4 linked regions of the Tamandua tetradactyla genome follow. The protein of the gene in region 2 purifies or fractionates together with the protein of the main gene of each other region. This does not show direct contact. Links are inferred from orthologs where the notes say so. Each region holds a gene or a part of one and is shown on either strand. Other genes may lie near its edges.

Region 1 (7,140 bases), on a different chromosome or scaffold from region 2:
TACCAACCCATAAGCCCTGTATATCTCTCCACTTATTTGGTGTTGATATCTTTCATGAGCATTTTATAGCTTTCAGAATATGGATCCTTACATATTTTGTTAGATTTAAACCTAAGTATTTGGGGTTTTCTATTGAAAATGGTATTTTTTTTTTATTCTGCTTTCCAATTATACCTTGCTAGCATATAAAATAAGACTGGCTTTTGCATGTTGACCTTGTTTCTTGTGATCCTGATAAATTCATTTACCAGTTTTAGGGGCTTTTTCCTAGATTCTTTGGATTTTCTATACAAATGTTAAATGCAAATAGGGATAGTTTTACTTTCCCTTTCCAATCTGTATATCTTTCATTTATTTTTCTGACCTTATTCCACTGGCTAAAATAAAGTTTCTTAATTATGTGAATGTAATTAATCCATGCTCTATACCTATGGCCAATAAGGACCAGCTAAATTTTAGTAACAAAGATAGTGACAGTAGCTGGAACATGTTAGTTTCTTAAAACTTCACACTATAAAATGTTTTTCAAATATAAAAGCTCTAATAAAACATAACATTTGGGGGCAGCTTGACAGCGTATTTCAAACCTTTAATTTGTCCTTATAAGTGAAGTGTTTATGTCTGAGTAAAAGACTGGCTCTGCCACTTCCCAGGCAGATAACACTGGCCACACACTTCATTTCACATGTCAGTTTTCTCATCCATAAAAAGGAAATAATAATTGCACATATTTTGGGGGCTGTGAGAATAGTCAGTATGCAAAGTACTGAGAAGAGAGATCAGCAAACTACAGCCCAATGCCAATTTTTTGAAACACAGTTTTATTGGAACACAGTTACACCCATTCATTACATATTGTGTGGGCTGCTTTGGTGCTACAAAAGCAGAGACAGATACCATATGGCCTTCAAAGAGTTAAATATTCACTATTTTCACCTTTACAGAAAAAGTAGACCCCAATTTAGTACAATGCTTGGAGCATTAGTACACAAGAAATGCTAGCAACTATTATAACCAAACTTTACTGCCAGAATAATCCTGAATATGTATGTAAAGGTTTAGGCACAAGCATCGACTATAATGGTAAAAATGGGGAATAATAATAATATCAATTAACATTATTTGATTAAATTATGGTATATCCACACTATGGAATACATAGAGCCATTAAAAACAATGAGGGAAATCTGTGCTTACATATACTACATGTAAGGACCCCTAAGATCTTCTAAGTGATCCAAACTCATTAAGTAATAAAGTATGACAATATATACAATATAATCTCATTTCGTTAATAAGAAAAACTGTTCAGAAAAGGCTATATACTTCTGTTCAAGCACTGAGCGATTTCACTTTAAAATGTATGTAGTCCTGTATTCTTTAACCTTTTTTAATGAGCTGGAGTTTTGCAACTTTTTTTCAGCACTTAGAACCATTATTTTAATCTCTTTCAGGCTGTATACTATTTAGAGCTATAGTTTTCAGACCTTGCTTTAAATTTGTCCCTAAGGGACAAATTTAGAGTATGAGTGACTCTCAAGTGCATTCTAAATGAAATAAGCCAGACTTAAAAGACGGCATACTGAATTATTACTTTTATATAGCATTCTGGAAAAACCACAACTATAGGGAGGAAGAAGATGGGACATCCGCACCAGCTTCCTACTGAATTCTGACAAATCAGTCCTGCCCAAGGCCTGCACTTAAGTCATGACTATTTCTCGGTGCCTGTAGACCTGTTCACAGGAACTGCAGGGATAAGGGGCAAACGTGGAGACCCTTCACTTGTCCAGCGGACGCAAATGGTTCCCACCGTTCGGAGTTCCAGCCTCCAGCTGAATGAGGCTAGGACTCTAAAGCACAGTCATCAAGCTGCTTGCTGTACTTAACAGCTTGTGAGAAAAACTGCAATCTGCGTTGCAGTACCGGGTATCATTTCTGCCTCAATCAAGAATCATTTACGGAATCACGGTAGAAAACGGCCAAGAAATCCCACTGGGCTCACGGGAGAGCAAAACATTGTTAAGAGTAGGTGCCCTCTACTTTCAGAAAATAAATCCAAAAATCTCAGTGGCCCACGGAAAGCACAAATAATTCAAAACAGGGTTTAGTAAGCAAGCACTATCGATATCATTTAGACATAATCCAGACACCGACCTCGGTTGGCGCTTTTCTCACATCCAACCCACGCTGGAAAAATTCAGTGCCGGCATTCCAGGCTGAAAACACTCGGATCGTCCTGGCTGTGCCAAATAGTTCTACCCACGTAACTCTCCGGGCTCCTTAACAAAGCTCAAAACTCATCTCTCCAAGAACCCTCCTTCCCTCGGAGAGGTCGCGCATCAAAACTGGTGGTAGTCCTGCGCACCCTGCGGCGTAGGAGTTAACAAGCGTCTGCCCCTTATTTTCCAACAATCACGTGCAAAACACCGTTTTCCTTCCCCATTGGAGCCCCCGCCACGTGCCAGGCGCCTACCGGGTACTGGGAGAACCTGGGGGCCGGGACAGCTGGGGCCGGGGACGCTGGCGTCTGGGTAGCTGGGAGATACGGGGGCATCAGGGAGCCGAGGGGCCTGAGTGCCAAGGGTTCGGGTTGGGAGAGAGCTAGAAGCCGGGGTCCTGGGGGCCAAGGGATTGGAGGAGCCTGTGGACAACGAGTCTTGGAGGCCTGCATCAGGAGGTTCGGAGGGGGACGGGCAAAGGGAAGTCCGTGGTCCCATAGTCCGGAGGCAGTCTGAGTGGACCCCCCAGGAAGGCCGCGCCACCGAGGGCCAGGTCGCGGCCGCCCTCGGGGCCCGGATCTCGGCACCGCAACACCTATCCGGGAAGAGATTCTGAGGGGGCCCGAGACCCCAAATGGAAGCCGCGGGCCGGGGCGGGGACAGCGACGATCCTCACCTGGGTCCGCGGCGGCTCGAGGGTCCCGGTCGGGCCCTGCGAGTTTCCTGGTTGAGTCACTCGGGCGGACCGGGAATGCGCCAGGAAACGCCCGGCCTCCTCCCCTTCCTCCTGGGGCGGGGGCTCTCCCGGCTCGGCCCCTTCCTCCCGGCGCTCCTCCCTTCACGCTCCGGCCGCGCCCTGGACTTCCCGGTCCCTGCCGCCTGGCGGGCCTGGGCTCCTGCTTCCGCGCCGTCCGCTTCACACCTCCCTCCTACCAGCCTCTCTTCCCCCGCCTCGCCCCCACCCGGCCCTCTGCTCGCTACACGCATCGCACTCACCACCACTCCTCCCCTCACCCTCTCTTCCCCCTACCTAGTCCCCCGCACCCGCCCAATCCGGCTAAGCCGCACTTCTCTTTCCTAACCCTTTTACCCGGTCCCTGGAACCAGCCGGGCTTCTTTCCTCGCGGTTGAGACGCTCACACCAGACCCAGGTCGGCGGGAAGGAAGCACCCGAGCCGCCCCCGAAGGTGCTCTCCAGGGCAGAGAGTCCTGAGGACCACCAGCCGGCATAGGCGGTATCAGCTCTGAAAGGACAGGGGCATACAGGCTGGAGCCACCCAGCTCTGGACGCTGAAGGATCCAGGTCTACACCTCCCTTCCCCGCCCCTCAGGGGTCAGCGGGGTCAGAGTGGTGGGTGGGATGCACTGCAGATGGACTCACTACTTCACCGTCAGGATGGAAGCTAGTACAACTTAAGTTCCAGGTTCCAGGTACAACAGGTACACGCTTAGGACAAAATGAACATGAAGCGCCCCTGCACCGACCGATCTCTACAGCCACATCTCCCCTCTGAGCCATGGACAAACGCGTGCAAAAGCCTATGGGAATGGCCAGCCGAAGAAAACTTGACTAGAATTAGTCCCAAAAGCCAGTCTAGAAGCAGGTTAAGTAACGCTCATTGTTCTAGATTGCGTGCTCCCAGAAGGCGATATACCAGAAACCTAATGGCTTTAAAAGGGGGAGTTTTTTAAGTTGCAAGTTTATGTGTTCTAAGATGGTGAAAATGTCCAAATTAAAGCAAGGCTACAGAAATGTCCAGTATAAGGCATCTAGGGAAAGATACCTTGGTTCAAGAAGGCAGATGAGGTTCAGGGTTTCTCTGTCAACTGGAAAGACACATGGGCAACATGGCGACATTTACTAGCTTTATAGGTTTTTTGTTTCATGAAGCTTCTCCGGGCGTGTTTTCCTTCTTCGTCTCCAAAGGTCTCTGGCTGCTTGAGCTTTTGTGGTTCTCAGGGTGCTTTCCAAAATGTTTCCTCTTTTGGATCAGGATAAAAAAAACATGGCTTTCCTAGGGTACATAATCCTTTCAAACCAGCACACTTATCAAAAGGAGTGAGTTTGTCACACGCATGTTTAGGAGAAAAGTTGCCTAAATCTTCCCTTGTTCTTATGGAGAAGTATGATGATGGGCATCAGGAACCCCAGTTCAGCCATTAGGTTTATGAAAATCACAAAGAAGTCCAGTTATGCCCTGGCTGTGCTCTGATTAATGCTAGAAATTACAGGGATGGAAGCTTACAGGAACAGAGTCTGCCAAATATCTAAATTTCTAGAGAACACTTTCTCTAGAAGCTTCTGGGGGTCCCTCCTGCTCCTGCAAATATGGACTTTGAGTGACTTTCCAGTTTCCAGTCCTCCCATTTTCAAAAAGCAGATGACTGCTTTTCTCTGCCCAGGGCTGTCTTAGAGGTAATTTGAAAGATTTTGTTTTATTTATTTTTTTTTTAATTTTTTTATTAATCAAAAAAAAGAAAATAAATTAACACAACATTTAGAAATCATTCCATTCTACAAATGCACCCAGTAATTCTTAGTATCATCACATAGATGTATGATCATCATTTCTTAGTACATTTACATCGATTTAGGAAAAGAACTAGCAAAACAGCAGAAAAAAATATAGAATGTTAATATAGAGAAGAGAATTAAAATAATAATACTAATAATATATATATATAAAAAGGAAAAAGAAAAAAACAAAAACAAAAGATACAAACACACAAACAAACAAAAAACCATATTTCAGGTGCAGCTTCATTCAGTGTTCCAACATAGTTACATTACACTTAGGTATTATTGTGCTGTCCATTTTTGAGTTTTTGCATCTAGTCCTGTTGCACAGTCTGTATCCCTTCAGCTCCAATTACCCATTATCTTACCCTGTTTCTAACTCCTGCTGGTCTCTGTTACCAATGATATATTCCAAGCTGATTCTCAAATGTCGGTTCACATCAGTGGGACCTTACAGTATTTGTCCTTTAGTTTTGGGCTAGACTCACTCAGCATAATGTTCTCTAGGTCCATCCATGTTATTACATGCTTCATAAGTTTAGTCTGTCTTAAAGCTGCATAATATTCCATCGTAGGTATATGCCACAGTTTGTTTAGCCACTCGTCTGTTGATGAACATTTTGGCTGTTTCCATCTCTTTGCAATTGTAGATAATGCTGCTATAAACACTGGTGTGCAAATGTCCGTCTGTGTCTTTGCCCTTAAGTCCCTTGAGTAGATACCTAGCAGTGGTATTGCTGGGTCGTAATCCATTCTGCCATTCTATGTCTTTTGATTGGGAAATTCAGTCCATTAACTTTTAGTATTATTACTGTTTGGATAATATTTTCCTCTAACATTTTGCCTTTTGTATTATATATATCATATCTGATTTTCCTTCTTTCTACACTTTACTCCATACCTCTCTCTTCTGTCTTTTCGTATCTGACTCTAATGCTCCCTTTAGTATTTCTTGCAGAGCTGGTCTCTTGGTCACAAATTCTCTCAGTGACTTTTTGTCTATAAATGTTTTAATTTCTCCTTCATTTTTGAAGGACAATTTTGCTGGATATAGGAGTCTTGGTTGGCAGTTTTTCTCTTTTAGTAATTTAAATATATCATCCCACTGTCTTCTAGCTTCCATGGTTTCTGCTGAGAAATCTACACATAGTCTTATTGGGTTTCCCTTGTATGTGACAGATTGTTTTTCTCTTGCTGCTTTCAAGATCCTCTCTTTCTCTTTGACCTCTGACACTCTAACTAGTAAGTGTCTTGGAGAACGCCTATTTGGGTCTATTCTCTTTGGGGTGCGCTGCACTTCTTGGATCTGTAAATTTAGGTCTTTCATAAGAGTTGGGAAATTTTCAGTGATAATTTCTTCCATTAGTTTTTCTCCTCCTTTTCCCTTCTCTTCTCCTTCTGGGACACCCACAACACGTATATTTGTGCGCTTCATATTGTCATTCAGTTCCCTGATCCCCTGCTCAAGTTTTTCCATTCTTTTCCCTATAGTTTCTGTTTCTTTTTGGAATTCAGATGTTCCATCCTCCAGTTCACTAATTGTAGCTTCTGTCTCTTTAGATCTACCATTGTAGGTATCCATTGTTTTTTCCATTTTTTCTTCTTTGTCTTTCACTCCCATACGTTCTGTGATTTGTTTTTTCAGATTTTCTATTTCTTCTTTTTGTTCAGCCCATGTCTTCTTCATGTCCTCCCTCAATTTATTGATTTGGTTTTTGAAGAATTTTTCCATTTCTGTTCGTATATTCAGCATTAGTTGTCTCAGCTCCTGTATCTCATTTGAACTATTGGTTTGTTCCTTTGACTGGGCCATATCTTCAATTTTCCGAGCGTCATCCATTATTTTCTGCTGGTGTCTGGGCATTTGATCAGATTTCCCTGGGTGTGGGACCCAGCTGGTTGAAAGCTTTTTCTGTGAAATCTCTGGGCTCTGTTTTTCTTTTCCTCCCCAGTAGGTGGCGCTCGTGGCGCTCGTCTGTCTGCACGGCAGTCGGCCCGGGAAACCGCATGTGGAGGGCGGGGGGTGTCGCCAGCCGCCCTGACTTGGGGGAGTGCCGGTCCTAATTGCCCAGCTGGCCCAAAACGCCAAGTGTGACGGGAGGGCCCCGCTATCCAACGTTCCCAGTCAGACCGGGGAGCCACGTGCGTGGAGGGGACCCCAGTCGCCAGCCGCCCCGGCCGGGAAAACGCGCGCCCCTCGGGTAGCTCACCGCAGCAGATTCTCCCTGCCCGTTCAGCTGTTCCAGAATGGGGTACGCTGTCTTTTTGGTCTCTGTCGTGACTCCGGGAGCTGTTTTGTATTGTTTCTGTTTCTTTAGTTGCTTTTCTGGAGGAGGAACTAAGACCCGCGCGTCTTACTAAGCCGCCATCTTCTCCGGAAGTCCTGTTTTATTTTTTAAC
Region 2 (7,606 bases):
GAAGGCATTTATCATGCTTGACTAAAAAAATTCTTGGACAGCAATGTCTAAGTTAAGACACCAGGCTAGTAGCCCGATCCAGAAACCATTCTGTGTGAGTGAAACGAAGGAAGTTTCAACTCATTCACTCCCATCCTCCAGTCAACCAAAGCCAAAACAACACTAGTAAAAATGGTTGTTTATACATATGTGAATGTGAGATGTTATCTTATCTTAAAACTGGGGGGAAATCTTGGGGCAGAGGTCCCCAAAATAAAGGTGGCAAGGTACTCAGGAAGGACTATCTTAAGAGAATAAAAAAAATCAAATTTATCTTATGTTTTATACCCAATGCTATACAGGGAACAAAGAATTAAACTAGAGGCTGACAGAGCCTAGTTATAATATGGTTGTAAAGTAGCTTTTAACCAAAATCCCTAAGAATATTTTTTAAACAAGAAAATTTGCAGTTTGAGAAACCTCAATTTGGTTTATTTTTACTTTCTGGCTTTTCAAAATTTCTTTGTTTCGTTGTTTTTTTCTCTCAATTTGTTTTTATTACTTAAAATTTGCCTTTAAATTGCTTGAAATTCCACATTACGTTACTTCTTCAGCCCCCCCAAGATTTAAAACCACACAATTTTTTAATAAAAAGAAAATTCCAACTATATCATCAGACATGTGATTAGAAGCTAACAAATATTTCTAGGATAGGGAATTATGGATCTAGATTTTCACTGAAATAATGGTTGGCACTTATTATCTCTAATTTAAAGTATTATGGCTTGGTGGGGGTTTTCTTGAAAGGTACATTTCACTTCTAATGCTGCTTGGCCCTAGTCAAATCAGTATCAAATAAAGGATTAAAAATTCAACGTCAGTAACTCTGCCTAACACTTCCTCCCCGACCTAGCAGTGAATAAGAATAATGGTAGCTGGCACTTCCTGAGCAGTCACTATGGGGCGGGAACCGACAAGGTGCTTACTATCCAGCTTCTTATTTAATTCCCACAACTTTCCCTTGAGGCACCTCTCTTGGGAGATGACCTGCTCAAGATTACCCCACAAGTAAATGGTGAGGTGGGGACTTGACTTGATGGGAGGATTCAATTCTCGAAGTTTTCAACAAGTATCTGACTAGAATAAATAAGCCAATACCCATTTATCTAGATCCATAACCCGTTAGTATTAAATAAATATACCTACTAGCGCTTATGTTTTAGTTTCTGACATTTTAAATTGAGAATATTACATACTATGGCTATTAATACTGAATTATCAGCAATTCACTGCTTCCTTAAAAAAATTAGTCTGTATTATTTCATATGCTAACATTACCGATTCGGCCTTTTTAACTTTTAAAGGAAATGCAGATAACTAAGAATGATTATTAGACAAAGTGATATCTGTTGAGTTCATTCATGATGCAAAAGAATCAAAACTTCATGTAAAAGAATCTTGTTTTCCTTATTAAACCAACTAAATGAACTTTTTTTTCCACCCTAAATGACAGAAAGTAAAGCTGTCTTCTGCAAGGTTAAAAAATATATTTCTGAGTGAAACGATTTTTAATTATATGCATAGAACCATGAAGTGTTCAGAATTCTTCACACTTGTGAGTCTGACAAATCAGTCAGATGGGCGGCTTAAAAAAATTCAGTTGCCTAATTGTTCTTGCATCTGAATAAGTTAGAGGAACAACTTCGAATGCCTAAAATTATCTAAATAAGCTGGGAAATCACAAATCACTTTAGAGACTAAGAGCTAAATTGGTACCAATGACAAGTATGGAGAACACTAATCAAAAAGAAGAACGATGCCAAAACAATTCCCTCGACTTTGCACGCTGGGAAACGTACCAGTTGCATTCTGAGTTTGACGAAACTGGTAGTAGTTCTTCAAGCTTCCTTGTTAACGCTAAAACTACACAAGCCATGCAGACACGCACAACTCTGCTAGGATTACACTGAGATTTTTGTTTCTACGGGAGGGGAGGGAAAAAACTGCATAAGTCAAGTCTTGTCTTCCTCGAGGGCCTGTGACCATCGGACAGCAATGAAAAGAAATGCCTTGAGTCACACAGGGCAACCCAGCTCAGGGAGCTTGCTCTGCTACATCCCATACCTAACACCCTAACGCACTCCCTCCCCTCCTTTTTAGCCCATATTCAATGAAGAGAAGAGTCGTAATCACATCCAGCTACTTCACAGCTAAACTCTTAAACGTTTCTCCCAGAAAGAGCAAACACCGTGACTCTAAAGCTCTAGGAGTGGCCAACAAGCCACTCATCAGAGCAAGTTTAGGGTCACCAAAGCAGCCCCGGAAACAGTGATCCAACAGTGTTAACTTGACAAGCGTTACCCGCCGCCACCGGGACACGGGAGGCGAAAAAGACAAACGAAAGGAGCGCGCTTAAAAAAAAAAAAAAGGCAAATTCCAAACGCCACCTAATCACCGTGCAAACGCGGGGAGGGCGGGGAGAGGCTTTCGGTGACTTCTGCCCTGGCGGGACGCGGGGCTCGGGAAGAAAGCGGGAGGGTGGGGTCCCCTTTTCCCTCCGGCCGGCACTCAATTCCCAACACCCACTTAAAAAAAAAAAAAAAGCCGGAACTAGGCACGCGGCGCCCCGCGGGCCCCGCGGAAGGTGGGAACGCCGCGGCCCTCAGAGAAGGCCGGGCGCAGGCCCCACGCGAGTCCGCGGTGCCGGCCGGACCTCGGCCTCCGCCAGGCCCGCCCCCGCGCGCGGCCCCCGCCCGGCCCGTCCGGGTCCGGTGCACTCACCCGTCTCCCACCACCACACACTTGATGGCCTGCATCTGGGCCGCTCGCTGGGCCGCGGCGGCGGCGGCGGCGACCGGACGCTGAGGTGAGGAGCGGCGGGCGCGGCACGCGGCAGGCTCGCGGCGCGGCGGGGCGCGGGGTGCCGGGACCGCTGTCCACGCCGCCTGGCCCTCAGTGCACTGGCAGCCAAAGCCCAGCTGCAGCCACCACCCAAAGCTGGCGGAAAACTGCAGAGAAACAGGAAATGGCCGCTCCACTCACATCCGGCCTCCCTTCCCCCGCCCTGGCGCCGCCGCTCCTAGGCTCCCGGGCGGGGCCGCTCCGGGGGCTTCCTCTCGGCCTCGGAGATGCTCGGGAATGCTCGGGAACGCTCGGGAGCGCTCGGCTCTCAACGCGGACGGACGGGGCTGGCCGCCATCTTTGCGCCGCTGACCGGGTCTTGGCCCGGGGACTAGTCTTCGAAGGAAGTCCTGAGTTCCCGGGAACAGCTTTTCTCTGAGAGCTGTCCCAGACCATCTGAAGGGCGTTGACAAACCCCCCCCTTTTTATTATCCTTTTTACGTGATAGTTAACATGACAGAAGGTTCTTTTAGGAAATTCGGAGTCCAAAACCAGAAAGAAGAAAGATGCATATAACACGCAGTTGCAGATATCACCAAGGTTCATTTGGCCAAAAATGTAAACTTTTCTCACGTATGCACTTTCTCTTATGTTTAATGTTTTGCGTGCCTGTTACTTCCTATGATTTGTACCAAGTTCTGAGGAGAAAACTGAACCAAAGTTCCTTTGCGTTGACGATGTTGGCACATCATTAATGTGCGGATGACATGTTTCCAATTAATTATTTTTTATATACATAATGAACATGTCAAAATTGAGAGGATCGCCCTGAGTCATTGTTAGAACCTCGTTAACATCGGCTTCCTATTCCGTTATACCGTAATGAATTCAACCAGTTCTAGTATTGTGGGGCAGATGGATTGTCTCTAAAAAGCAATGCTGAAAGGTACTTGCTTGTGCAAGAATCTTTGTCTATAGCTTAGTTGCTTTAGATTGTGTTCCCATAAATGGAGTTAGTGCATCAGTAGGGGTGAGTGTTTTTAAACCTCGATTCGTGTTGTTGCGTTGCCCCACTGGAAGGCAGTTACGCTCCCTGGTTAAGAGTGGACCCTCCTGGGAAGTTGATTTCTGATGTTTCATCTTGTGGGCCCTTCTCTTTCTATACCTCACTCTGTTGCCCACCCGTGTAACAGTCTTCTGAAATCAGATCTTTTCTGCACACATATTTAAGAAGAAAAAAAAGACCGTATTTATCTTGTAATTATTTCAACATGAATGTGTTCCCAGGGAAAGGATACCTTTTTGTGTTGTCGATACAGATCAGCCTTGAGTAGTTGAAATTTCAAGGGTAGTAGCGGAATAACATCCCCATTTCTGTCACTGCTTACACAGATTTCTGCTGAATTTGCGACAAATCTAAACTCCTTGGCGTAGTTACCTTCATGTCTTTTAGAATAGGGGCAAATAAAATGGCAGGGTCTCACATCTGTTATTCAATTAAATGAACAGCTGATTGTGCTGCTGTTGCATAATGCTCTGGTAGGGAACGAATAAGATAGAGACAGTTGCTGAGATATCAGTCCCACTCGTCAGTGCTAAGGTGGGCTACAGATATGTTTATCAGGAGGCAAAGCACAGAAGAGACATCATGCTAATAAAAAGAATTTCATCGAAGACATGACAACTGAGCTGAGAATTGAAAGATGGGTTTGGGTAGGATTTTTGATGGCTGTTGATGGGGTGAGAAGAGTTTCCCACAGAGAGAACAAAGTCCTGTAAATCAAATGTTGCAGAGCTAGCAAGGGAGTAGGCCACCCTCAGATGTGACCCAGAGAAAGCCAGAGGTTTGCCCTGCTCCAAGTCCAGAATCAGGCTGACTTGCAGAGTGCCTTGAGTGTGAACTTTATTCTGAAATGACATGAGTCTTTGAGGCAAGATATGATACAATCAAATCCAGATCATTATTTCTCCAGCTTGATAAAATGAAAGCATACAGGAAGTTCGACTGTGACCATAAGGTAACAAAACTAATGTACAATCCGCATATGAAAATGAGTCCATTTAAAAATGAGTAATCATGCTTCTCCAAGTTTCAGCTTGTCTAATTGTAATTGTCCCCATGAAAATAAATAATAATTTTTTAAAGTTTAAAGAAAATTAATAAAAGCAAATGCTGTATTAGACCATGTGTGTTCTGAATGTGCTGTATAGTTACTAATTTATCAGGTGCCTACTATATATGGAATCCTATGCCCTGTCTAAAGCATTCAGGGTCCTCTGTTAATGTGTTTGCTGAGTGCCCACTCTGTTCCAGTCACTGTCTAGGCTTCCAAAGTGTGAAATGGACAAAACAGATCCCTACGATGAGGAATCTACAAATCAGTGGAAGAGGTGGTCAATAGGCAAGTGAACTTATGTTCATTTACAGATTAAGACGTAGGTTGGATGCAAGTATCTCCCACCCAAAACCCCACTAGAATTTCAGTAAAGGGATTTGTTTAAGGCATAATCCTTTTAGGGAAAAGGGAAGAAGACAATTGCTATTAGCAGCTGGAATGAGATGCGTTGGGAAGGTAGACAGGGTAGACAGCCACCTGAGATAGCCAACACCTGATCTACGCCAGAGAATGTTCACCTGGCAGCACCAGGTACCTACCGTTGGAGGTGAAGGCAGAGTAGGACAAGATAGATGGGATGAAAGCAGAGAAGGATGGAGCAACCTACATAACCTCTTAACCATGCATTGAGCAGGGTGGTTGCCCTCCTCTCCTCCTATAGAAAGACTGGAGGTTCCTCTCAGAAGAAGGCAACCAGAGGGTCTCAGGACCAGAGGACTTCAGGCATAGGGCCTCAATAACAAAACAAAAACAAAGGGATGTAGTAATGCTAGGCTGTATCTTGAAAACCTCCCTTCTTCCTTCTCCCCCGCCTTAAGAATGCTGACAGCTTCCTTCCAGGTAGGGGTTTGGAGGGCTCTTCTCTGGGGAACCTGCCACTCCTGCCCTGTTGGCAACACCAAAGAGAGAACAACATGGGAAGCCTTCCGAACCCCTTAAAGCATCCCGCCAACTTTTAGTTTTTCACTTTTGACCAGCAACAGATCACCAAAGATTATCAAATATTTGAGGAAAACCTCAAGAATGGAAACTAGAAGTCAAAATAATATAAAGTCAAAATAAATAAAATTTGAGGAAAACAAAGCATGGCAAGGAGAAGAAAACTTAAAAAAAAAAAAAAAAGACTCTCAACTTCTTCAGATAAAAGAATATAATTCATCCATGAATAAGAAGGGATTTATTCTTATTATTTTTTTAAAAGGAGCATTCAGAAGATTTTAAATTAAATGAAATTAAAAACTCTTGGAAATTAGAAGCAAGTTAACAGAAATGAAAAAAATTCAATAGAAAGGCTGGAACAGCAAGTTGAAGAAACCTTCCAGAAAACAGATTCAAAAGTCAGAGAGATTAGGAAGGAAATTGTAAGAACATGAGAGAAACAGTCCAGAGGGCAAATCATCTGAATAATAAGGAGTTCAAGAAAGAAAGAACAAAGAAATAGCAAAGGAGGATATCTCCAGTGAAAATATTCAAGAAAATTCTCCAGGCCTGTAGGACAAGTATTTACAGGTTGAAAGTACCAGCCCCCTAAGTACATCATTATGAAGCCTCAGAAAAATGGGAGCAGATAAGATCCCAGGAGCTTCCAAAAGGAAAAACACAGGCCAAAAGAAACAGAAATGAAATGGCTTCAGGTTTCCCCAACAGTGGCCCTGGAGATTCTGAAGGAAAATGATTTTCAGCCAAGAATTCAGCCCATAGCCAAACTATTGATCAAGTGGGAGGGCAAAATAAGGACATTTTCAGACAAGTAAGAGTTCTCAGAAGCTTTTACCTCCCACACACCATTTGCTAAATTATTTCCCTTAAAGCTGTTGGAGCTTATGGAGGAAATAAACCAAGAAGTAGCTGTGAGACACAGAAACCAGAGATCCCACACAGCTGAAGGGAGAAGGGGCCCCCTGGGATGCTGGAGCCTGGAAAACCAGCCCACATTGCAGCAGGGAACTGTGGCCATAGACCACAAAGGGTCAGTGTTCACGGCCACTTCCCAAGGGTGATCAGCCGGAAGGTGTGGAAGACACACCAGCTCTTATTTTGATGAGTGTTGAACATTCAGATGACAAGCAAGGAAATGACAACAATGAGGCAAAAGAGAAGGGTGTTCTTGATGTGAATGGTTTCTCTAGAGCCCATGCCTCTCTCTCTCTGTTTTCCCCCTAACATTTTCTTTTTTTTTCTTTTTTTCTTTTTTTATTTTTTTATTAACGGAAAGAAAAAAAAAAGAAATTAACACAACATTTAGAAATCATACCATTCTACATATGCACTCAGTAATTCTTAACATCATCACATAGATGCATGATCATTGTTTCTTAGTACATTTGCATCGGTTTAGAGGAACTAGCAACACAACAGAAAAAGATATAAAATGTTAATATAAAGAAAAGAAATAAAAGTAGTAGTAATAGTAAAAAACAACAACAACAAACAAACCAACAAGCAAACAAAAACAAAAAAAACCCTATAGCTCAGATGCAGCTTCATTCAGTATTTTAACATGATTACTTTACAATTAGGTATTATTGTGCTGTCCATTTTTGAGTTTTTGTATCTAGTCCTGTTGCACAGTCTGTATCCCTTCAGCTTCAATTACCCATTGTCTTACCCTGTTTCTAACTCCTGCTGAACTCTGTTACCAATGACATATTTCAAGTTTATTCTCGAAT
Region 3 (7,436 bases), on a different chromosome or scaffold from region 2:
ACTGGCCCGGGGGAGGAGGGGCACAGTGTCCCCTGTCCCAATCTAGGAGGGTCCGGAACACTTGAGGGTCGCCAGTCCCGGCCGGAGGGGGCGGGGGGGGGGCCGCTCCCATCAACCTCTCGCGGTCAACAAACACAAAAGCCGCGGCCGCGAACAAAGAATCTCTAACTCGCCGGGGAGGCGGGACAGCCCGCGCCGCGCCCCCTCCCCACGCCGGGCGGGCGTGCCCAGCCGCGGGGTCCCCGCGGCGTCCCGACGACGCTCTTACCTGGCCGGCGCGGACCTCTTTCTCCAGCTCGCGGTGGCGGTTGTGCCACACGAGGTAGTGCAGCGGATACTTGCCCTCGGGCCCCTTTCTGGCGGAGGCGCTGGCGGGGATCATCGCCCGCTCCTCATGCCGGGGCCGCGGCGCCCGGCCGGGGAGGAGGGACGGCGCCGGAGCCGGGGCCCGGGGCCGTGGGGCGGGGGGGGCGGCGCTCCCTGCTTGCAGGGCTGCGGCTCGGGCATGTGCGAGCGGCGCCGGCGGGCGGGGGCGGCGCACCCGGCGCGGTGCGGGCGGCGGGCGTCCTCGCGAAGCGGTCGCGGCGGCGACGGGCGGCGCGGAGAGGCCCCCACCCGCCCGGGGAGGGAGCGGGCACTCGGCGGCGCGGCGCGGGCTCGCGCCTCGCCTCCCACTCCCCCGCACACAAAGACGCGGCTCGGCGGAGGGAGCAGGCGCCCGCACTGGGCGCGGGGGCGCACTGGGAGCCGGCCCCCGGACGCCGCTGCCGCCGCGCCAGGGACGCGGGCCCGCAGCCCTCCGCTCCCCACAGCTGCATAGCCCGGCCCTATGCCCGAGCGGTCGGCTTGGGCTGCGGGGCTGCGGGGAAAAGAGGAGGGGGACCCGGGTGCCCCGGGCAGAGCCTCTTCTAGTCCGGCCCCGCGGCATCATGGGGCTTGTAGTCCGCCTCGTGGAGCTGGAAATGGCAGGTGGTGGAAAGGGTCCAGCGCGCTCTTTCTGTTCCCTAGAAATGGTGAGGAAGGAGTCGGATCTGGCCGAAACGGAGGAGTGTCTTGATGCCAGGTGGCCTGGGAAGCATCCCCCACCCGTTTGCATTTTGCCCTTTGCTGCAGAATATGGGGGGGTACAGACCCATCTTGAGCATTGGGGGACAGCAGGGGGAGGGAATGTGGCCTTCAGGGTCCTAGGATCCTAGGGGACGTGAGGAGGGATCCAGACTCCCAAAAAGTGGCCGAAAGGGAAATCCCTAAGAAAGGTGTGGGGTATCAGTACCAAGAGTTATTGGAGCAGCCAGACGCCCGACATCTGAAGTATTCTGAGGAGTCCAACCTTTCCTCTTAGAATATTAAATATTTGACGGGGTGGCGGGGAGTGAAGGCTCACTGGGGCGAGGAGGACAGTCCCTTCCAATGCACTGTCCTTAAGTAGAACCAGAGTGGGTTTGAGCAGGGAAAGCAGCAGGTGGCAGCTCCGCAGCCTGGGTGGCCCCCTCAGGAGAGGAAGTGACTGATTTCAGAGACTGAATGACCCCTCGGCAGAGAGGCCCTGCCAGAAGGGACCTCGGAGAGGGTGTGGTAAGTGTGGAATTGATTGCCCTCCGGGGCTCCCTGTTGCTAGAGCTGGAAGGACCTAGAGGCCCAACCCAAGGAGGTTCAGCCCAAGAACTGTGCTGTGAGACAGAACTGAGTTCGAATTCAAACGCCTAAATATGTGACCATAGGTAAATTGCTTAAATTTTCTGCATTTCTGGAACCACTTACCTCTAAAATGTGACTCTGGATATTACGTCTTTAGGTGATCTCAGGATATTATGGTCCTCGAATCGGTGCCCCTCCCTCCCCCATCCAGGCGGACACCAGAAGCAGGTGGCCTTCTGGAGTCCACCTTAGAATAAGGCAGAAAGAAGGGATTCCACTCCCTCTTAGAACAACTATGGAAGAAGTGTTTGTGTGTGGGAGGTGCCAGCAAATGCTTGTAAACTCTCCGCTCCTCTCTCAGGCTTTTTTGTGTGGTCTTTCCTTCCTCCTCCACACCCTGCGGTGCCAGACCCCGGTGGGAAGGGATGAGGGAGGAGCGAACTGCCGCGCCCCTTTCTCTAGGCTGGGAGGAGCCAGCTAGCGTCTCCGGCCGCTGGGGACCGCTGCCCTCCTACACCACCAGAGGTCAGCAGAGTGTCGTGCCTGCGGCCGGAGATGGGGAGGGGGCTGCTGAGGGGGAGGGGCGGCTAGGAGTGGCCGGGTAGATTCTTGTACATTTTCTCATTAAATTATTTTTAGAATCTTGTGTGTGATTTCCTTTTAGTTTAGCAGTCCTTCATCCTGGAGTGGCAGCATCTCCACAGAGAAATCAAGTCCTTTTATTCCTAGCCCCAAATCCAGAAATTCGGCCGCGGAGGGGCCGGGGGCTTCTGTAACAAAGTTTGGGGAATGGGATCCGTGCCTGGGTCAATTCCAGGTAGTCCACCGGCCAACCTGGAGATGAGGCTGGAATAGGGGTGAATCATCCTCCTGCAAAGCCCGGGAGCACAGGGCGGTAGCCTGGGGTAGGGGTGGGTAGGGTTAGGGGTAGAGGGGCTCAGCCTGGAGCGGGGCAGCCTACCCCAGGCGGCCAGAGACACCAAACCGTCCTGAGCGCTGTGGCTGCCACGTGCTCGAGACGCTCCCACACAGCAGAGAAACAAAGACAGCCAAACGACCCGGCTGCCAGAAGCTGCCTTGACATTTAATAAATGAAATTCCAGAGCTGGGGGGGGGGTCGATTCGGGGTGAACGGACGGGCACCACTCGTGGGCTGCTCGCAGGATCCGGGCGACCACGCAGCACCTCCTATCACCATCAAAGCCGTGGACTCTGAGCCCGCGCGGTACGGGGCCGCAGGTGGTGCACCCCTCCTTTCCCCCAACCCCCGCCTGCGAGATATCTTTGCTGGCAGAAGTCCCGGCAGCTGAGCGGCTGGCTGCCTATAGGGGGAAGGGAGGCTTGCAAGAGATTCTTTTAAGGTGCGATTTTAAATATACCCTGTGGATCGCGATTTCAAGCAAACTTGTCAATCTAGGCTGCCGCAAAAAGCGATGGAGGCAGCTTTGCATATATTTCGGGTGGTGACTCATGAGAATTACTTGTCTCCCCAGGGAAGCAGCCTGCCCACCCACAAATCACTGCCGGCACTGGTGCCACTGGGAAAAATCGACCAACTCTGGCACCCCGGCCCAAGGAACACCCCCTCCACCTCCACCCCAGTTAATGAGAAGGACTCCCTGTTGCTTGGGGAATGTTCCCTTAACCTTGCGCCCCAGACCTGGCCCTCAAGCCTAGTCCTGAGCACCTCTGCCCTCTCTCCCCACACCTCTTGCCACTGGAGGGATGGGAGCTGGATGCAAGCTGGGCACAGTGTATGGGGGAGCATGGTCAGTGACGGGGTTCGCCCACGTGTGGCCTGCACTTTCACTCCATGGGCCTCGGCCTGTCTGCACAGCATCCGTGTGAAGTCCAGAAAGAGGCAATCACAAGAAACTGGCCCCATATGTTATATGCACGCTCTGGACTCACACCTCTAGTGGCCCAGAGACAAGGTGGATATACATAAAACAAATGACAAGTAGAGATTTCTGCACACCAGCCGGGTGGTCCCCTCCTCTGTCGGTCTTTAAGAACCACCCAGTTTCTTTCCTCTGAATGGAAGCATGGTGAGGCAAGATTTATTCTTTAGCCCGGAGGCAGCGGGTTACCTTGCGGACCCTCTCTGGCACCTGGGGGGTCTACACTGTGAGCAGGTGTGCGTACTCAGTAAGAGTGTGACCAAACACTCTGGCGTGGGCATCTGGTGGCCCAGAACGCATCCCTCATTCCCCCAAAAGAGAACTGTCACAGCCCTTTGACAGGGAGGAGGACCTCGGCCTCCATCTCCTTCCTTCTCTTTCCTGATTTCACCCAACCCCCGACTCACCATCCCCAGCTCTCAGCAGCCCCTGAGCCACCCCTAGCCCCAAAAGTGGAGGGGTTAGGGCTGTGAAGGTGACTTACACTGCCTCCGGGCTTGGGGAGCACCGGAGCAGAGACTCGGCCCCAGGCGACGCTGTGCGCCAGCGGCCGTGCCGCGATTGCGGCCCCTTTAAGCGCCCCCCCCCCACGCCCGCGCTCCCGGCTTCCTTTCTCCCGGAGGCGCGGCGGGCGGGGCGGGGATGCAGTTGCCCCTCCCCCGGTGGGCAGGGCCTGTGCTGCTTCCTGCCGGAGCGGCCCGGAGCCGCGTAGGGGGCGGAGAGAGCGAGCGGAGAGCGGCGGCGGGGCGGCGCGGGGCCGCGCGGGGCGGAGGGCGCCCGAGGGCGAGCGGGCAGGCGGGCGCCGCGGGTTCCGGGCCGGCCCCGGGGGCGGACGGTTGGCCAGGCGCGCTGAGCCTAGCCGGGGCCTTGCCGGAGCCGGGCCGGGCAGCAGGGGCCGCCGCCTCCCGGGCCCGCCGCCCGCGCCCCCCACGCTGGCCCAGAGGGCTGCGGCCGCTTCGCCGCTGAGGATGTCCCGGAAGGGGCCGCGAGCGGAGGTGTGTGCGGACTGCAGCGCTCCGGGTAAGCGCGGCCGGGCCGGGGGCGGGACCATGCACCGGGGCCGCCGCCGGGCAGGCGCCGGGGCCTGGCTGTAGCGCCGTGCGGGGCCGGAGGGCGGGGCGGGGTGCTGCGGCCTCCGGCCTCGGCTCCCACCAGGGCCACTGCGGAGCCGCGTCCTTGGCGGGAGGAGCGGCCTGGGGTCCCCGGGCCCCTCGCGTCCGTGGACTAGCGAGGAAGGGCATTCCCGGCGACTCCTCCCACCCTTCGGTCTGAGGGAGGCGAGCAGCTAGCTCCCCCACCCCCCCACCTCCATCTCAGTATCCAAACGGAAGCGCCAGCCTGGGATGGCAGGATGGCTGTGGCAGAGGCCGGAGGGTTTAGGAGGTGGGGGCGAGTGTGGTTTTGTCATCTCTGTTCCACCTCCGCGTCCTGCACCTGCTGCTTGTATGGTCTGTGCGCCTGCGGGGTTAGCGGAGGGCAAAGGGCAGAGAGCTGGGCAGATGCGTTGGGGCCTGGATACTGTTTTCTTGGAAGCAGATACCTACTCATACGATGTCCTGCCTCCAGTTCCTAAGGAATCTCCGGGGCCTGCTGGAGATTGGGAACAGATAACCTCAGCTTTTCCTGCTCTCCGGTGAGGCCTGCTTGGGAAAGCAGGCCTGACACTAGTGCCTGGGCCCGGACCCCTCCCGGTCCCCTGGCCCACCTAGTCCGAGCAGAATCAGGTAGGGGGGCAGTGGCAAGAGGTGCCCAGATTTCCTGGATTAAGCTGACTTCCTGGCCTGCCCCCTGGCAGTATATACTCTGGTGTTTCCCTTCCCTTCAGGGTCAGGTTCGGCTGGTGTGAATCCCCCTGGCCTGATGAGGAAGTGATGGACAGTGACCTGAGAGGCGCCTCCTGTCATGTGGGAGGACACTGCCTGTGAGGGGCTGCTAGCAGCTGGCTTGAGGAAGGAAGCTTGACCCTTGTCCATGTTCTCTTTAGAAAATGGGCAGGCTCTTTCTCGAGGAAATCCCTGGGCAGACTCAGGGGGGCAGGTCTGTGAACCCCTGGTGCTATGTGGGCACAATTAAGTGTGAGGGTGTAAAGTCCTGTTTTATGGGCCCATAGCGTTCAGCCATCCCTTGGACAGGCCCAGATTCCAACAGGTTCAGCCCCACAGATGCGCCGGTGGTTCTGGTGTGTGTGTTTGGGAATGGTGGGTGTGTTCCCGGCAGAGACATGGACACAGGGTGCTTTGTGGGTAGTTATGACATGCTTTGTAGGGCCCTGCAGGAGCTGGGAGGGGGGTGCTCTCTCCCCTTATTGGCTGGCAACCATGACCGTCTTTCCCCAACCACTGGCAGACCTGGGGATAGAAACTTGTCTTTTGTCTGTCCCAGGCTGTTCTGCATCTCTGCTGGGTGGGTATAGACTGGGCGGGAGGCCTGGAGACAGCAAGGAGGGCTGTGGGGTCTGAGCAAACACCCAGTAATGGAAGCTTGGATCTTAGTGTTGCTTTTGCTTCCAGCTTACTCTGACCCATGGCAAGACTTCCCTCACTCTGGGCCTTAGTTTCCACAACTGGAAGGCAAAGAAGTTGGCTTAGAAATGGTATTTGAGGGCCCTCCTCCCTTCTCCGAATCCGTGGTCCTAACTGAGCAGAGGGGCTTAGGGCAGCATCAGCATGGCAGCTGTACTGTATTGCACACTTGGCATGCCTGAGGCCTCTGGGTGCCCAGTGGGCTGGATGAGGTGGGTGCACGTCTGTTGTGTTGGAGTGCCCAGCTTCTATTCTATCCCCAGTCCTTGTCCAACACAGGGATTCGTGCCCTGGTTACCTTCTTTTCTTCTGATCCAGAATACAGGTCAGGAAGAGGCAGGCGATGAGACGGGTAAAGATGGCGAGGTGGGCAGGGTGTTGACAGAGCCTTTGTTGTCACTTCACCCCAGCACCTGTGTGGTTTCTGGCACACACAGGTGCTTCCCAAGTGCTTGGAGGCTTGTGTAGACCTCAGCTGGTGGCTTGGGGCTTCCCCGTCCCCCCCACCCTGTGACGCTGGCCCTGGCATGAGGGACCATTCTCAGTCAGGGTTCTGTATCAGCCCAGGGAAGAGGGGTGAGGATATCAATGTGGAATCCGCACCAGAAACCACCCCCTCACTATGATAGGGGTCCTGCACCATTAGTCTTGGAGATGGGGTTGTGGTCTTCTTGTGTTTGTTTAATTTGGGGGGATCTTGGAGGTGAAAAGTGAGGTACAGTGTAAGAGTCCAGACAGCGCAATGCTCCCAGGCCTGGGTACGCAGGGGACAAGTGTGAGTATGTGGTGAGGCAGTTGAACGTGGTATGACTGCTGGGCCACCTTGTCTGGTGCCATCTGTGTCCCTGCCTGCCCTTGGGAGTGCGAAAGAGGGGCAGGGATCTGGGACCCCCTCTCCTCTGCCCACCCTGCCACACACCCAGCCTTTAGAGGCTGGGGACAGCTCTCCAGGGTCTGCTTCTCAGCCCAGAGACCCTCCATCTCACACTTTCCGCTTTGGCAGCCCCAGGCACAGGAGTGAAGACCCCGGGGTGCCCCTGCTGTAGGTGCTGCCAGCCTTGAACATGTTACAAGAGAGCTTGCGGGTTCATTTGTCTCTTCATAACATGGCCGGAGGGGTGGGGTGAATGGTGGGCTTTTCTTTTTTAATCAAGGTGTAACGGATATGGTAAAGTGCCTTAAGCGTTCAGCCTGCAGAATTTTACCCGCCTTTAGACCTGTATAACCAGCACTCCCATCGAGACATTGCGCATTTCCAGCTCCCCAGTGCCTTGTGCCCCCCAAAAGGTAACCTCCCTTCTGGCCTATATCCCTATGGTGACTTTAACCTCTTTCCGGATGGTGGGCTTTGCCCTCTTGTCCAGCAGGTTACTTT
Region 4 (7,641 bases), on a different chromosome or scaffold from region 2:
TATAATACTGTTACCCCAGATTATATAAAATAAGATTAAACTTTAGGATCGACAGTTCCTTATAATCTCCCCGCCTCAAAAGAACCAGGCTTTTTTTTGCTTTACTCTTCTATTTTGTTTTACTCTTCTTTAGAACACTAACACATAGTACAATACCTGGCACACAATAGGTGTTCAGTATTTATTTTGTAAGCCAAGCTTTTCCCTGAGCTACTACTAGCTAGAAGACTTAAATATTAGACAAAACAAAAACAGTAAAATCTCATCATTTTACATTTGTGGTCTTAAGCATTTACAATGTAGACAAAGGATTTATTAATTAAAGCGTACAACCAAATTTAAGGGGAACATTTATGTTACTAAAATATTTCAAGTACTATTCAAATTATCTAGTACATTAATTACAATTCCTATCTACTGAAATGGGTCTAACTGACCTTTATTGAGCATTGCTTTGTCAGCCTAGTTGGAGTCATCAAATGCAATAGAAAGCAATAAGATCAGAGGTGTACTATAAAGGACACTGGACTAGGACCTAGACTACAGCCCAGGCTCTGCTAATAATCAGATATATAACCTTGGGCAGTTCACTTTCTCATTTTTGGGTCTTAACTTATTTGTTAAAACAAGAGAGCTGAACTACTCCCAGGGACCTTTCCAATGTAATTTTTAAATGATTCTTATCTATAAATATTCTAATTTGATTTTCTGATAATGTTATGTTGTTTGATGATCAAGAAACATCACATTTTCTAAAACCAAGTAAAGTCTAGCAACAAATTACTTTTACTATCTTACATCAAGAGCAATAGGAGAAAACCAAAGGAGTAACATGAGCATAATAATCAAGCCTGCCTTGCCGTTTGGGGATACATGAGCCACATTGGATTTTACAACACAAATCACTGATACACACATATACATAAATATACATATATAGAGACACGTACCATTGAAATGTATTATTTATGTTGATTAACCTATGTATGTGTGAACTTTAAAACTTGATTTTAATTATAAAATTAATACTTGATAAAGGTTAAGAAATCAAAACAGTACATTAGGCCATCCATTTAGGAGTGGAAGTGCAATGCAAGTCTTCCACTCCTCCCACCCTTGACGTGTAGCAACTATTGTTAACATTTGTTTGTGTATCCTTCAAGAAATTATCCTAACAAATACATGTATACATGTTTGTGTATGTGTATAAAATGTTTTTAAACTAAACCGTTGCCCCTTCTTGAATGATGGGGAAAAAAAACACGCACAGGCTTGAGACTGTTTTGAAAGAAGAACTGCTAAGAGCTAGGCAGTCGCTGGCAACAAGAAGTATTCTCTTCAGAAATGTGTACTGAATTGAACACATTTCATTTTCGTGCCTGCAGGATATGTGGGGAAGTTGCACAGAAAGAACCATAGGCAAAGAGCCAGAAACCTGAGTTCTAATCTAAGTCGTGGAGAGCCAATGGGTAAATCATGAAATCGCCTCAGATTCCGGTTTTGTAAAAACGTAACAGAGCTGGGCTAAGATCCCTTCCAATTTTAAAATGCTATAATTCTAAGATGGCCGTCTGTAACAGTGTTCTTTTGAACTGATTTCAACAAATGTTATTAAGAAGGAGAAAGAAACAGTATAGCAACGTTTACTGTTACAAAAGTAAATTTCTCTGAGTCCTTAACTATCAAGCTGTGGTTGTGACAGAACTAGTGATATAACTGTATTTGAAAGCAAAGTAGTAGGTTATTAAAACCTGATAGGTTTTTTTTACAAAGATTTGACGTTTGTTTTCTTTTTTTTTTTTTTTTGGAGGTGGGGAGGACCATTGCTTATTTTTAGCAATAACCACCACCCCTATCCCCCAAAGAAAAAAGCTCCGTGCACTATTAAGAAAAAATAATGAAACTGAAGTTAAATTGACATTTTGTTTTACTCACAGAATATGCTGGAGCGGTGACTTGGGCACCAATGATTAGAATTACTAGCTAATTTTCTTTTCCGGAAGCTCTTTGGCCCCTATTATTTCTGTTTCACACGCCCTGGCCAGACACATTCCACAGGCATCAGGTGGGGGGACTTGCGGGAAATCCCTTTGATCATAAAAAAAAGTTCTTTAGCAGTCACGGGGTTCAGGGAGGCAGCGCCGCCGGCCTGAAGCTATACACGTTCGCCTTCCTTTGGCCAGTTCCTGGACTGCTGCCTTCCCGCCTTCCCGCCCTCCCCGTCAAGTTCGCTGCCTTCCCGCCCTCCTCCGCAAGGCCCAGTCGGAGGTGGGGAGGAGGGGAGGAGGGGAGGAAGGAGGTGAGCAGGAGGGGAGGAGGGGAGGAGGGGAGGAAGGGGGTGGGCAGGAGGGGAGAAGGGGAGGAAGGGGGTGGGGAGGAGGGGGGAGGGGAGGAGGGGAGGCTAGTGGAGAGGGAAACCCGCAAAGGCAGTACTCACCCGGCCTGGAGCGCCAGTCACGACCGCCTGCGGCACCCAGGGAGGTCCTGAGGGGAGGATCCCTAGGAGGGGCACCACCAGTCCCAATATGGAAATGCCAACTCTGTTCTGCAGCCAGGCCTGGGCCTAGGAGAAGGAAACGGAAGTCTCTCCGTCTCCCTCAACCGCATCCACCAACCGGCCCATCCCCCGGAGGAACCCGAGTCGGAGAGTCCAAAGTGCGTCCACGTCAGAGCATCAAAGAAACACTGGGCGTGGTCCAGCGGTCTCAAGGTCCGAGCCCCACTGACGGGGCCCCGGCAGCCAGTCCTTCCTGCCCGCCGCACCCCAAAAACTCCCGCCCCCGTGGAAGGTCAGCCTCCCGCCCTGTAAAGCCCCTCCTTCTTCCCCCCTCCGCCATTTTTCAACTTACACACTCGGGCTGAGGTGACCTTCGATTAGCGCCGCGCCCACGCGGGGCGCCAACACGGTCACGACACTTCCCTGAGTGGTAAGAGCAGCCAGAAAAAAAATATCGCCCAGTCTCGGCTCCGACCCCAGCTGGGAACGGGAGCCTGACGAACCTGGCGCACATGCGCAGTGGGTACCGCGCGGTGCCCGCCCCCTAGTTTAAGCGTTTCCTGCTTTAGCCTACAGGATGTTTTATTTCCCACGGTTTTTACCTGCCGGGCTCTAGGGTTAAGGAGTAGCCGAATAGAGATAAAGTAATGGACAAGGAATACGGAGAAGGGAGAGAACGTGTCTAATTCTTACTATAGACCAGATGCTGTGCTATATATATGTTCTTGTCATTTTGACAAACCTATGAGGTAGGCACTCTCTTACTAAATCCATTTTACAGAAGAAACTGAGACCCAGAGAGGCAAACTATCCCAATATCGCTCAGTAAATAAAAGAGAGAGCTACTATTAGGATAAGCTCTGTTTCCAAGAAGGGAAGAATGAGAAGAATAAGAAAGGGAGACATTCATTAAGAGAGAGAGAGAAGAAAATAATTTAGGAGGTGAATGGAAAATGAACAGGGGAATAAGAAAGCAGAAGGAAGCAGAAGGAGGGGAAACAAAGGAAGTGTAAGTACATAATGTGCTGATCATACCCTGGATTTATTTCAAATATGCTGTAGGATTGTCAGACCTACATCTGAATTTTTCTTTCAAGAACTCAGGCTCTCTAACAGGCTAGTGTGTTGAGATAATAATTTCTGAACCAGGATATTTAATGTCATGGAAAATATCAAAAGTATCGCCAGCATCCTCAAATGATGCTGTCTCCAATGAAAAGCAGACTTGGAGGGAGGAGAAGAAATAATTTTCTTTTTGGTTCTTGGGCTTTTGCTACAGTTGATATTATTCTTTCTGATCCTCTCCCACTGTCACAGCCCTGGTAGTCTCACATCTGACTTAGTGCAGTAATAGTAATTGCATGCACATGTTTATCTCATTTAATTCTCACAGCAATCTAATGAAGTATAACTATCATTACCCCATTGTACAGATAAGAAAACTGAGGTTTAAAGATATTAAGTGACATACTGAAGGTCACACTGCTAGTATGTACGGGAACTGGCCCAACAATTTTAAACCCAGATCTGTCTGATTACAGGTGTATCTAACCGTTACCCAGTCTCCTGACTTCTCTGTCCCTGGACTGGTCCCCCCAATTCGGCTTGCAAAAGGCCCTTTGAGCTAAACTCTTCAATACTTCTGCTTCCAGGATAATGTTAAAACTGCTCAGCCTCATTTTCACTCTCCCCTTGGGCACCCTACTGTTAGGCACGGAGTCATTAAGGAATCCACAGCAGACAGCCAGTGGAGGCTTAACAGATTTATTGAAGAGAGAGAAAGCAGAGAGAGTAGGTAGACAGGAGCCAGTGAAAGGAAAGAAAAATGGCTGGCCCTCTTTGTTCTGGGAGCTGTATTATAAAGGGAAAGTGATGCCAGGAGAGGGGAAGGGTGCCCACTAGGTGGTGTGTGGTCCCTTGATTGGATGGGGGCTTGTTGACTTAGGGTATCATAGATTACTAAGGTATTCTCCTTTGATGTACAACTGCATGTATTGGGCAGGGTGAGGTGCTGGTAGAGGAGGGTGTTATTAACAGAAACAGATTATGACTGTATTTCTAGTTATCTGGAATGTCTTCATTTGCCTGTAGAATACAATCCCAGCCAGTATGGTAATTGGTTCATATCTGGATCCTTGGACTTCCAAGGATGCTGAGGAGGGGGGCTGAAGGGGCTCTGTGTCAAGAATTCCTTTTGCTCTTAGAATTTTTTTTCTGGGACCTAATACCTTCCTTATCTTCCAATAAAACAAAACTACTCAATGTCTCCTAGCCCATCCCCTGCTTTCCTATCTTCCATTAATTTGTTCAAACTTATCCCTCTGCCTAGATGAAAAGACTGCCCCTATGCAAAGCCTTCTCTAGGTGTCTTAGCTGAAGGTTATCTCTTCCACCTCTGAACTCTCTTGGCGCTTGAATTTGTGCCTTTGTTATGAAGCACAGTGCTTTCTCTCATGCAGTATAGCTACTTGTTTACAGTTCTACAGGTTCTATAGTTCTAATGCCATGAAAATCTCCAAATTAAAGCAAGTCTATACAAATGTCCAAACCAAGGCACTATCAAGAGGTTACTGTCACTCAAGAAAGGCCGAAGAGTTCAGTGTTTCTCTTTCAATTGGGAAGGCACGTGGCCAACCTGTAGACAGCCTGCTAGCTTTCTCTTGAGGCTTCTTGCTGCATGAAGCTCTGTGGGAGAAGTTTTCCTTCTTCAGCTCCAAAGTTTGCTGGCTGGTGGACTCTGCTTCTTGTGGCCATGTCGTTCTAAAGCTTTCTCCAAAATGCTTCCTCTTTTAAAGGATTCCAGTAACCTAATCAAGACCAATGTAGAAGGGGTGGAAGCATGTCTCCATCTAATCAGATTTAATACCCACATCTTCATGGAGATAACCTAAACAAGTTTCCAACCTATAGTACTGAATAGGATTTAGAAGAAACTGTTGCTTCCACAAGATTGGCGAAGATTAAAACATGGCTTTTCTGGGGTACATAAATCCTTTCAAACTGGCACAGTATCTCTGCACATAAAATACCCCAGGTATATCTGTCTTTGCTGTTCATATCTGTAAATTAATAGTTCACCCAACATGCATTTACTGAGGCTCTGGCATGTTCATGAAATTTGTATTCACTCTTTTTAAAAAAAAATCAGCAAATTTGAGCACCTACTCTGTGCCAGACACTGTTCTAATCACTCAGAATTTGTCAATGAGCAAAACAAAGATCCCTGTCTTCTTGGAGTTTATATTCTAGCAGGTGTAGAGGGAACAGAAAGACAATAAATAAATACAATAATTAAATAAATTATATTCATGTTAAAAGTGATAGACGTCATGGAGAAAAGAAAAATTAGAGTGTGGAAGGAAGACTGGAAATACTGACAGAAGGAGTTGTAATTTTAAATATGGTGGTTGGGGTAGGCCTTATTGAGACACTGACATTTTAGCTGAAAAGACATGGAGGAGGTGAAGGACAAACCATAGCACTATCTGGGGAAAGTGTTCCAGGCAGAGTGAACAGCGAATGCAAAGGCAGGAGAGCTAAAGGAACAAGGAAGAGAGTAGCAAATGAGGACATAAAGGTAAAAAGGGATCAAGATTGTACAGGGCCTCTGTATTAGTTATCCACTGCCATGTAACAAAATGTCCTAAAATTTAGTGATTCAGGAGTAGCTTAACTGGGTGATTCTGACTCTTGGTCACAAGAAATTACAGTCATCTGAAACATGTGGCTGAAAGACCTTTTCCGAAGGTGGCTCATTCACATGGTTAGCTTGCTGGTGCTGGCCATAGTAGGGAGAAGTGAGGGAGAGGATTTAGTTTCTCTCCCTGGGAGCCTCCTTATCTGCTTTTGTAGTATTTTTAAGATAAGATGGCTAGTTTCCTCCAGAGCAAGCAATCCAAAGGAGAGCAAGCAGAAGGCACAATTCCTTTTACTATCTAAACTTGTAAGTTATATGCCATCACTTCCACCGTATCCTACTGGTCACACTTTCAGCCCTGGTTCAGTATAGAAGGGAACTATGCAAGGTTGTGAATAGCAAGAAGCAAAGATCATCAGGGGTCATCTTGATGGCCGGCCACCACAGTTTTGCAAACCATTATAAATCTGTGACATTTACTTTGAGTGAAATGGGGAGCCATTGAAGGGATTTCAGTAGAGAAATGACAATGATCTGACTTGCATTTTATTAGGATAGCTCTGGCTACTGTGTGAGTAGACTGGAGAGGGCCGTGGGTGGAAGCTGGGTGACCAGTGAATAGGCTATTACAGTCATCCAAGAGAGAGTTGGACTACAGTTGTAGTGGTGGAGTTGGTGAGAATTGGTGGTATTCTGGATGTATTTTGAAGATAGAGGTGACATGATTTGCGATGGATTGCATGTGGGGTATAAGAAGGAGGAATTAAAAATGACTAGAAGGGTCTTGGAGGAATTAAAAAATGAGTTAGACATCAGTCTTGTCATAAATGAGCTTACAACAGAGGGATCACTATCTTCTTTGTATAGTATAACAGGTATACAAAGCAAAGAAATAAAAAAGCAATAATTTTCAAAGCACTTTTCAACAAGTGGTTATAGGAGAGATCCCAGAGTTTGTAATGAGCTACCATACAATCCTCTCATATTTTTCCTTCTAGCTCCTCCAGAATATAGGAGGCTAGAGGGCTTAAATATTTTTTTATCCTCATATTCAACTTTTTTCCTTCTTTTTTGTGAAAAATAACTTATATACAAAAAAAGCTATAAATTTCAAAACACAGCACCACAATTAGTTCTGGAACATATTTCAGAATTTGACATGGGTTACAATTTCACAATTTTAGGTTTTTACTTCTATCTGTTCTAAAATGCTGGAGGCTCAAAGAGATATCAATTTAATGAGTCAGCATTCAGATTCATTTGTTAAATCCTGTCTTCTATGTATAATTCCACCATCACCTTTGGTCTTTCCATACCTCTCTCTAGGGGTGTTTGGGCTATGGCATTTCTAATTTTTTGGTATTGGAAGGGTCTGTCACTAATATGGGGTAGGGAGTGGAACTATCTGATGTTCTGGAGAGGCTGGGCTAGGTTTCATGACTTATCTGGACCAGGGACCCGTCTGAAGGTTGTAGATTTCTGGGAATTTAATCTAGTGCCTGGAACC

The links.
Region 1: the proteins of RAC1 (region 2) and CYFIP1 purify together in Homo sapiens (pull-down; 3 studies listed by BioGRID and IntAct, with this or other methods). This does not show direct contact. The link is inferred for Tamandua tetradactyla from reciprocal best matches to the Homo sapiens genes RAC1 and CYFIP1.
Region 3: the proteins of RAC1 (region 2) and GIT1 purify together in Homo sapiens (affinity purification with mass spectrometry; 3 studies listed by BioGRID). This does not show direct contact. The link is inferred for Tamandua tetradactyla from reciprocal best matches to the Homo sapiens genes RAC1 and GIT1.
Region 4: the proteins of RAC1 (region 2) and XIAP purify together in Homo sapiens (affinity purification with western blotting; 3 studies listed by BioGRID and IntAct, with this or other methods). This does not show direct contact. The link is inferred for Tamandua tetradactyla from reciprocal best matches to the Homo sapiens genes RAC1 and XIAP.

The regions. Positions count from the first base shown.
Region 1 is NC_135338.1:74,226,110-74,233,249, reverse strand, and holds the start of CYFIP1 (cytoplasmic FMR1-interacting protein 1), read right to left. Parts: upstream 3,015-7,140; 5' UTR 2,899-3,014; intron 1-2,898. UniProt on the Homo sapiens protein: Component of the CYFIP1-EIF4E-FMR1 complex which binds to the mRNA cap and mediates translational repression. In the CYFIP1-EIF4E-FMR1 complex this subunit is an adapter between EIF4E and FMR1.
Region 2 is NC_135349.1:5,559,252-5,566,857, forward strand, and holds the start of RAC1 (ras-related C3 botulinum toxin substrate 1), read right to left. Parts: upstream 3,017-7,606; 5' UTR 2,796-3,016; coding exon 2,761-2,795; intron 1-2,760. UniProt on the Homo sapiens protein: Plasma membrane-associated small GTPase which cycles between active GTP-bound and inactive GDP-bound states.
Region 3 is NC_135332.1:52,835,448-52,842,883, reverse strand, and holds the start of GIT1 (ARF GTPase-activating protein GIT1), read left to right. Parts: upstream 1-4,429; 5' UTR 4,430-4,507; coding exon 4,508-4,559; intron 4,560-7,436. UniProt on the Homo sapiens protein: GTPase-activating protein for ADP ribosylation factor family members, including ARF1.
Region 4 is NC_135353.1:41,719,300-41,726,940, forward strand, and holds the start of XIAP (E3 ubiquitin-protein ligase XIAP), read right to left. Parts: upstream 3,016-7,641; 5' UTR 2,850-3,015; intron 2,790-2,849; exon of another isoform or gene 2,564-2,789; 5' UTR 2,438-2,563; intron 2,300-2,437; exon of another isoform or gene 2,137-2,299; intron 2,089-2,136; exon of another isoform or gene 1,936-2,088; intron 1-1,935.